Schizosaccharomyces pombe: one gene and its partner. The gene in region 2 interacts genetically with the main gene of each other region. Each region holds a gene or a part of one and is shown on either strand. Other genes may lie near its edges.

Evidence for each region. Genes that interact genetically often act in the same process or in processes that back each other up.
Region 1: mutations in arg11 (region 2) and php5 together harm fitness more than expected from each alone (negative genetic interaction), as found in Schizosaccharomyces pombe (one large-scale study listed by BioGRID).

What each region holds. Positions count from the first base shown.
Region 1 is NC_003423.3:3,393,367-3,398,065, reverse strand, and holds php5 (CCAAT-binding factor complex histone fold subunit Php5), read left to right. Parts: upstream 1-1,559; 5' UTR 1,560-2,365; coding exon 2,366-2,710; exon of another isoform or gene 2,711-2,755; coding exon 2,756-2,785; exon of another isoform or gene 2,786-2,843; coding exon 2,844-3,716; 3' UTR 3,717-4,162; downstream 4,163-4,699. Other genes in the region: mitochondrial [2Fe-2S] cluster assembly NADPH-ferredoxin reductase Arh1, read right to left, coding at 1-149, 232-438. UniProt on the Schizosaccharomyces pombe protein: Component of the CCAAT-bound heteromer, php5 is essential for DNA-binding activity. It is essential for transcription activation of cyc1. It is the linchpin that binds to the subunit association domains (SAD) of php2 and php3 to bring these proteins together.
Region 2 is NC_003424.3:2,269,406-2,274,780, reverse strand, and holds arg11 (N-acetyl-gamma-glutamyl-phosphate reductase/acetylglutamate kinase), read left to right. Parts: upstream 1-2,056; 5' UTR 2,057-2,104; coding exon 2,105-4,762; 3' UTR 4,763-4,873; downstream 4,874-5,375. Other genes in the region: ornithine carbamoyltransferase Arg3, read right to left, coding at 1-769; DNA-directed RNA polymerase III complex subunit Rpc2, read left to right, coding at 5,259-5,375.

The DNA of each region.
Region 1 (4,699 bases), on a different chromosome or scaffold from region 2:
CTCTTGTCCCCAGCAGCTCCATAGGCAAGGACCAAACAATCATAATTTTTAGTCAAATCCCGTAAAGAAACATCAGTCCCAACGTTTACGTTACCAAGGAAGCGAAATTGTGTAGACTCAGCAATTTCGGAAAACTTGTGTTCTACATGCTACAATAGAGGTTAGCTGTATAATAAATTTAATAAGATCCATTTTTAAACCAATCAATATTTCTTGGCTTAACAGACTTACCTTAACTTCTGGATGATCTGGGGCAACTCCATAACGTACAAGCCCAAATGGAACTGGGCGGGATTCAAACATATCTATTTTGACATTTGGGTCATTTCGTAAGAGTCTGTGGGCTGTGTAAAAAGCAGCCGGCCCAGAACCGATGATGCCGACTACAGGTGAAGAAGTTTGAGTGCTATATGTTCTTTTAATGAATCGTGATAGCATCCTTTCTTAGCCTTAAGATGAAAGAAAAACAAAAAATGATTGAAATGAAGAAGTGAAGGATATCTTCGTGATTGTAAATCTGATATAAAACTAGCAGCAATTATCATTAACAACTGGACTCTCCTCAAAACGAAAAGAAAAGCTACCAATGCTTAATAAAACTGATTCATTAGTTTTAAAGCTTTAAATGTTTAATCTCAATAAACTGTTTGGTGACACCTATACAACTAGTGAATTTTATAGCATTGGATGAGTGGTCAGGTTCAAGCAGCCAAGCCTTTTGAGAGCAAAGCATTTATATGATAAGATCAGTCAGTATTTAGAAAAAGGAAATTTCTTATTAAATCAAAGGTAATTACAAACAGGAAAGTTGAATCAAACGCTACAACAGAACTTTTGCTGATCGTTGCTTACGATATTACCAGCAACAAACATCTCATATAGTAAAGTGCAAACCTTCAAATAAGTGTTTTATGTTGTTATTATGAGTGACTTAAGCAGCTTCAAACTGATTTCTGCAATGATTTTTTTATGATATTTCAAATAACTAGTTAGATGATTGTGGCTCAAATGGTTAATTTGAAAACGATATATTTAAATTTCTTAAAAATAATTAATCTCTGCTTATTCAATCATACTTATTTATAAAGATGCTAAACCTAGCTACTTGAAAGTGTTTTCTAATTCCTACTATTATAATGATAAAACAAAAAATAAGAATTTATTACATTCAAAATAATTCTATTTATAAAGGTCAATTACTCTTTCACGTTTAAAGAACTGTTGTAAGACCAACAAATTGTAACGCGGTAAGCTTTATCTTTGCGAGGACTTTAAAAAGGCGTAAGATTCAATTAACAAGGATGTATTTTAATGTAATTCCTGGATTGAAGTCAATTACTATACGTATTTTCTATTCTGTTTGCTTTAATTACTGAATAATATTTGCACATGCTATTGTTTATAGTATTATATCTACTACCGCGAAAACATTAATTATGTATATCAAATAATGAATATTTACGTGTCGTTAAAGTGTTTTAGCAATTGTAGAAACAAAGTATGTGGTACTATAAACCGGTTCCATCAATAAGTTGTGTGACAGCCAACCATCTTCTGCCAGCCACCAATAAATTCAATCGTACCGATTTTCGCTATATTGAGTGTTTTTGCACTCTATATACTTAATTAAGCCAGGTGTAATACGCTACATAGATAATTCAAGACACTTCGACGAGTTAAGGTGCTTTACTAGTGTTCTTTATTGAAGTTCTTTGTTTTAAGAAGTTAATGTGTTAGAGATACGTTAGTAACTGCACTTGTTGCTTTGTCTTACTCATTCTACGAGTTTTTCGTGAATTAAGACGATTGGTATTTATCTTTTTAGATATTGCAACTAAGCCTCGTGTTTAGCCGTTCGTGTTCCTTTCGATTGTAAAACTTTTTATTTTTTTCTTTCCGTTCCACTCTTCAACTTGACGTCAATTTGTTTTACTTCCCTGTTTCGTCTCCTGCTCACCTCTCATATAAGTTTAATTCCCCATTTTACCGGAGACTACTCCGCTCCCTTTCTATTTTATTTCTACTTATCTTGGTTACGATTTTGTTAAGCTGTACATCAAGGTATTGGAAGTTTTCTTTAATCCGCATCTTTATCGCCTCTTAATATTTAGATTTTCGATTTGAAATTCTTTAGCTTAAATTATTGTCAGTTTCTTTAACAGCTTTGTTTTTAGGAAACTGGTATTTGTTAGATCCCGGCATAGTTACAATTTTTGTCATTGTCGTTTTTTTAAACCTGTCACCAGTGAGATTGCATTGATCTCTTATCTAATTGGCAAAGGCCTTTACGTTTCCAGTTTTCTTTTTAAACTAAATTGCCTTTCTGTAGACTTTTTTTCGTTTTTCAATTAAGATTCATTGCAAAATGAATTCTATTCCTGATTCCTATTCCTTGAAACAAGGCTTTCCCGAAGGTTTAGGAGAATATGTTGATCCCTCTGGCAATCCTAATTCTCAGGTACGGATAGGTTATGGTCAAGATTCTGTTTCTCGCTTCCAACAACCAGTCCCCGATGTTGATCCAACTGCTGTCAATCACTACAACGCTAGTGCACCCATTGAGGTTGCTAGTCCATTTGATAATGTTACTCAAGGTCTTGTTGGCAGTGATGCACAAGCCCTTGCTGAATATTGGCAAAAAACCATCGATACATTGGAACATGACGATCAAGCTGTAAAAACTCTGCATCTTCCCTTAGCTCGTATTAAGGTATGCCACTTTTTCTGAATTAATTACTAACTATTGATTATGCAGAAAGTTATGAAAACTGACGATGATGTGAAGGTACGTTACTTTGAGTATTCGAATACTTTTTGACATTAACTTTTACTAATTTTTTTAGAATAAAATGATCTCGGCAGAAGCTCCTTTTCTGTTCGCTAAAGGAAGTGAGATATTTATTGCAGAGCTTACTATGAGGGCTTGGCTTCATGCCAAAAAAAATCAACGAAGGACACTACAAAGATCCGATATTGCAAATGCAGTATCAAAATCTGAAATGTATGATTTCTTAATTGATATTATATCTAAAGATAACAATAATTCCCGCGCATCTTCCAGTCAAGCTCATATGTCTGCTACTCAAGTTGCTGCTATGGGTGGTATGAATGGTTTACAACCTTTCCCCACTCAAGCTGGCTTACCCAATCAAGGGTTTCCAATGCCAACTGGTAGTCAACTTCCATTTTCAAATCAACAGTCAAGTCAGCCTTCAATGCAGTATTCCTCTCATCCATCCAGAATGCAGCAAATGCAAGATATTGATCAATCTATGTATAAACAGCAGCGTCTGGGCTCTGAATATCCACAACTACAAATGTCAGATAACTCCGGAAATGTTAACCAGATGAATATGCAAAGACCGGTCATGGTAGCACCGTACATGGCTGAGCATTTATACCGTTATCCACCTACGCATCTCGAATCTGGATCCTCAGCTTTCCGATTGCAGTCATCCCCTATGGGATATCAAATGCCCCAATTTCAAGGTAATATGCGACCTAATATGCAACAGTCTCAAATGTTTGATCCTTCTGCATATGGTATGTCAAGAAGACCTGGATCTCCTCGGCAATTCGATCAGCAACAGAGACTTTATTCACAGCCAAACGCTATGATGTATCAAACTCAGCAAGGGCGTCAGGGAAACCCAATGCATCAGCAGTTTTCCCAGCAACAAAACCCTCTTTCTCGCTATTCGCAACAACCCCAGTAATATCTTTTAATACCTGTTGATTTAGAACATGCAATTTAAATAATTTCTATTAAATTATTTGGGAGGATCCAACAGTGATGCATTTTTAGGTGGAACTTTCAATTTGTCAATTTTCGGTTTATCTACAAAAGCTTAAAGAAACAGTTGATTTTCATGACATGCTATGTCTAGTCATTGTTACTTTTTTTAAGCTATGTGTGGTTTTATTTTTTTAGCAAGACCGAAAAAGAAATGACGGAAGCTTTTCATATTTGCTGCCTCTTTATTTTCCCATTGCGGGACTGCTAGTGTAGAGTATTTTGTTTTACTTAAACATATATATGCATTTGAAATTCATTGTCGATAACATTCTACCTATTATGGATATTTACGGGTTGTCAATGTAAATAAATGATGGCATGTTGCAATCGGTTACCAAGAAGCAATTAGCTTTAAACAACGTTTAGGTTTACTTTATAATTAAATTTATTCGTATATGTACTTGAAAATTTGCACTTTTGATGATTTTTTAATTTAAAATCTCATAAATTTTAACTTCTATGTAAAAAGGTATTTAGGCTCATTATGCAAGGAAATTACAGCTGCTTTCATTCCCGACTGCATAAAAAACCACCATTCCACGGCCACCATACTCGAGGTAAAAATGAGTACGGCGGTGCGAGGCAGTTTAATTTACTCCTTCACCAGAACTACGCAGTTGATTATGAACAACAGATAGGCAGAAAGAGGAGAAACAAATTATTCTTATACTAAAGCTTAGAATTCTTTAATCTACCCCCAAACAACAACGAATGGCATCTACTAGCTTTTAAGCAACTTCTGTTCTGCAGAAAAAAACTACGTAAAAAAAGTTGCTAAAACTATCAGTTGCGACATCGCTGCTAACAAATTATCGACTAAACTTGTCGATAATAACGAATTCCCCTAGTAAGCCAAACATAACATTGAGAGGAAACGTAACGATTAAATATTAATTCAAAAAA
Region 2 (5,375 bases):
ATCCTGTAAATTGTTTAAGACGTTGTTCCTTCTCAGCTTCTTGACCCATAGAAATCCAAGTGTCGGTAACGACGATATCAGCATTTTTAACAGCAACCTTGGGGTCGTTAACAATTTCAAAAGTAGAACCGTTTTCGTTCGCAGCTTCGTTAACGATTGATAAAATATCGTCGCGAACGTTGACGTCCTTGGGCTTAGCAACGCTAGTATGAATACCAACCTTGGCATTTGCAATCATCAAATCATGTAAAACGTTATTGGCATCACCTACCCATGCAACTTTTAAACCGTCAAAGCTTTTGAAAGTTTCCTTAATAGTGAGTAAATCTGCTAACGCCTGGAGAGGATGAAACGTGTCACAAAGACCATTAATAACAGGACAAGAGGCATGTTTAGCGAGCGTAGCAACATCTGAATATTTGTTTACGCGAGCAACAATACCAGAAACCATACTTGATATAACTTTTGAAGTATCGTATAAAGACTCATTCACTCCTAATTGGATATCATCTTTACCTAAAAACATGGCATTGCCGCCAAGGCAACTGACAGCACTTTCGACTGATACACGAGTACGAGTGCTACGCTTACTGAAGATCATGGCGACATTCTGAGACGACAAACCACTCATTTGAACAGAACGGCGATTCTGAAAATTCTGCTTATAAGCTTGTTTAATTTCAGAAGACCGATCGATCAACTTTACAATCTCTCCGCGACTAAGATCACGAATGGATAGTAAATGACGAGGAAATTTTTTGAAAGACATTTTCAATTGCAAACTGAATAATTCTTCTCGACTAAATATATCAAAAATACGGTTTTTGTAGTCGACTACAAGGAACCCACAAGTTACTGGTAATTTCTTAGATATTCAGGGTGAGATTGCATATAGCCGATATCTAGTTCTCTCTCAGACTGCGAGATTGGCGCCGTAATATATCGTATGCGGATTTTCGACGAGATGGAAAATTTTTACATTATCGTACACTAGAGTTCAGTTGCAAACAAGCTAGTACGTTGATGAAATATGATAAAACAAGTCAAAAATTAAAAACTACTCATAAACATTCTATTTCCTTTCTTTTTCTTATGTTATTCATGGTAATATTGATACAGAACGTCAGAATACTTATCAGCAATAGCTTTTAAATACCAAAATCGTTAATTGATTAGCAGTAAAAGAATATTCATGGGTTTAGCATTTAATTATAGAACTAATGAAAAGGGATGAATTTTTTTCGACCTTGTAATATTTTTTTTATTTACCACCCATTCTTTAAAGAACCAATACATTGTAAATAAAATGTATCTAAAAAACGTGTAGTTATTTTTTTTGTTTATTCAATTATCTCTTGACACTATATTCAAGCGAGCTGAAATAAAACCAATTGTGTTACTATATTGATAACTCAGCATGCTTGTGAAATCAACAACTACCATGAAATGAACAATGAGTTCACAGATTCGCTATATTACAAGCTTACACTTACAGTATTGCATAAAGCGAAACAAGTTTTAACGAAAGAGAAGGGCTTCTTGCCAAATTTTTTTTTTTTTTTTTTTTTTTTTTTTTTTTAACGAGATTATCTTAGATAATAAATTTTATGATAAGTGCTTTTGTCTCATCAGGGTCATTGGGACTATTCAACGCGAAATCAAATAGAAAACAAAATATTGTTTCAAAAGAATGCTTTCATGTATAAATCAAGATATTGAACTGGCTTGCATAGAAATAATGAATATTGTACTGTGTCAGTTAGGACTAGTATTAAATAATGTATATACAAATAGATTCATTGTCGGCAAATGAGTTGCTTTTACAGTGTCATTTATATAGCTTTAATTCATTAAATGTCCATGTCTCACGTTTGCAGCACTTTCATGTAAACTGTTGGTTTCCGATGTAATTTTCAGCCAACAAGTAACATTATCGATCTCATCTTTTTGAGTGATTATCTCCAGAGCAAATCCCTAGATACAGCAATCAAATTTTAACGAATTATAGCTACGTTTACGAAGCAAATGATTTTCCAATTTTGAAACCAACCAAACTGCCTTCTACCAACTACAGTAAATCATAGAATATCACTAGAATTTGGCAATGCTTATTGAATTGCAACAAATTGTCAAGTCCGGTCTTGTACGGAATGGAGCGAAACACTGTACGAAAAGGAGCTTACTATGTTCCAATGCATCAGTCATTGCAAGCAAACGTTTTCAAGGCAGTTTTGCCCCGGGTCAACAACAACCGTTAAACCCACTCGCGAAACCAATTGAACAAGATCGTGATGCCATCATTAGAATTCTTTCCTCCATCGGAAGCCGTCGTGAAGTTGAGCAATACCTACGATACTTTACTTCCTTCGAAGCTCAACGTTTCGCTATTATCAAGGTTGGTGGTGCCATTATCACCGACGAATTAGACACATTGGCACAAAGTCTTGCCTTTTTGAATCATGTGGGTCTTTATCCCATCGTTGTGCATGGCGCTGGTCCCCAATTAAACAAAATTCTTGCCAGCAGAAATGTTGAACCCGAGTATAGCGATGGTATTCGAATCACCGATGCCGAGACTCTTTCTGTAGCTCGTAAAGTTTTCTTAGAGGAAAATGCGAAACTTGTAGATGCTTTGGAAAAGTTGGGAACTCGTGCTCGTCCCATTACAGGTGGTGTATTTCAGGCAGAGTATCTCGACAAAGAAAAATACAAGTATGTTGGCAAGATTGTCAAGGTAAACAAAGCTCCTATTGAACACAGTATTCGTGCTGGAACCCTCCCTATTCTTACGTCTATGGCCGAAACTGCTTCTGGTCAATTGTTGAATGTCAACGCCGACATTACTGCTGGTGAGCTTGCTCGCGTATTGAAGCCTCTAAAGGTGGTCTATCTCAATGAAAAAGGTGGACTTATCAACGGTGAAACAAAGAAAAAAATTAGCAGCATCTATTTGGATAGGGAGTACGATGGCCTCATGAAGCAACCATGGGTCAAGTATGGTACGAAGCTCAAAATCAAAGAAATCAAAGAGTTACTTGATACTCTTCCCCGTACATCTTCCGTAGCCATTATTAGTACGAAGGATTTGCAAAAAGAGCTTTTTACGGAATCTGGCGCTGGTACTTTGATTAGTCGCGGTTTTGTCATCAACAAACATGACTCGTTGGATAGCATTCCAGACGCTGCTCTAGAAAATTTGATCATTCAAAAAAATTCTTTAGCCGCACCTAGTGAAAGCTTGAAACAGTTCAAGGATACTCTGAAAGACAGAAAACTTCGTATTTATAGTGACTCTTTCAATGAATCTGTTGCTATTGTCGACACCACCGACTCATCCTTGCCAGTACTCTTAGCTTTTGGTGCCGCCGACAATAATTGGTTAAACAATGTTGTTGATAGCATATTAACAACATTAAAAGCAGACTTCCCTTCTTTGCTATGGCGTCTTCAACCTTCAGCCAAGAATCTGGAATGGTTCTTCTCTAAAAGCGAAGGTACTTTGTTTGCTAATAATTTTTACTACTTTTGGTACGGTGTAAAAGATTTGAATAAAATCTCCAAGTTCATTCAGTCTGACAAGCCATTTGCCGATGCTATCATTCAGACCCAATCCACTAAACCCCCTACTGCTTCATCTACCACCAACAACCCTTCCTCTTCACAGATCAATCAAAAACGAAGTTACTCAACTAGTTCTTTATTTTCAAAAAACAAAAAAATGAATCGTTCTTTGTTTTTAAAGGGTGGAAAACGATTTTTTTCTGCTGAGGCTCAGAAGACCCAAAAACCTTTGAAGGCGGTCTCATCGAAGCCAGCAAAAGTCGTTCTCCTTGGAGCCCGTGGTTATACCGGAAAGAACTTGATTGGATTGATTAACACTCATCCTTATCTCGAATTATCTCATGTTTCTTCTCGTGAGTTGGAAGGCACCAAACTTCCTGGCTACACTAAGAAAGAAATTCAGTATGTCAACTTGTCCACAGATGATGTTAAAAAATTAGAGGAAGAGGGAGCGGTTGATGCTTGGGTCATGGCCCTACCCAACGGTGTATGCAAACCTTATGTCGATGCTTTAACGTCTGCAAATGGTAAAAGTGTCATTGTTGATTTAAGTGCGGACTACCGTTTTGAGCCCTCGTGGCAGTACGGTCTTCCTGAACTAAATGACCGTGAAGCTTTGCGTAACTCGAAACGTATTTCCAATCCTGGTTGTTACGCTACTGGATCGCAAGTCGGTTTAACTCCCATACTCTCTTTGATTGACGGCCAGCCCTCTATTTTTGGTGTATCTGGTTATTCTGGGGCTGGCACTAAGCCCTCTCCGAAGAATGACTTGAATGTATTGACAAACAATTTGATACCTTACTCATTAACTGATCACATCCATGAACGTGAAATTTCTTATCGTTTAAAGCAACCTGTCGCCTTTATTCCTCACGTTGCTCAATGGTTCCAAGGAATTACTTTAACTATTAATGTTCCGTTAAAGAAAAGTATAACTTCCCGTGAGCTTCGTAACTTATACCAAGACCGTTATAATGGTGAGCCTTTAATTCATGTTCAAGGAGATGTACCTTTGGTCAAGGACAACGCACACAAGCATCATGTTTCAGTTGGTGGTTTTGGTGTGCACTCTTCTGGAAAGCGTGCAGTCATTGTAGTTACTATCGACAATTTACTTAAAGGTGCTGCTACTCAAGCTCTCCAGAATCTCAATCTGTCCTGTGGTTACGATGAATATGCCGGTATCCATTTGGATTGATTATATTTTTTGTAGCCCATTCTTTTGTTATTTTTATTCTTTCTGTGTACCATTTGGATATTTTTTTGTTACAAATATTTTGAACTAAATGCATTAATCCTTGCTATTAAATAGCCAGCAGTAAGTCGCGTACGAGTACCATCTTAAGTTTCCACACATTTTAATTTAGTTCTTGTTCAGTTATACAAAATTCCTCTGTCTGTGCGTCGCAGACTCTTCAAAACTTATATAAACAGATTTGAAGTTGCTTTCTATGGTATAGATTTTCATCAACGAAATAATTTTTGTACGTAGAATAAAGTGGTAAATAGTTAAGCTTCAATAATCTTAATTGCGTATAAGTTTTATTTCTTTATTTAAAATTATATATGTTACTTAAAAAATAAGCCCAAAGTAATAAGAAATCTCTATCCTTGCATTACTAACGCTTCCTCCATAAGTATATTTTTGGGGAGGAATTTTGCTACCGTCCGCCATTATCAACTAAGTGAGTTCGATGGGGGTAAATACTGCCGGAGACCCTCAAAAAAGCCAACCCAAAATAAATAAAGGTGGAATTGGGAAGGATGAGAGTTTTGGAGCCCTCTTTAAACCTGTTTATAAGGGCAAAAAG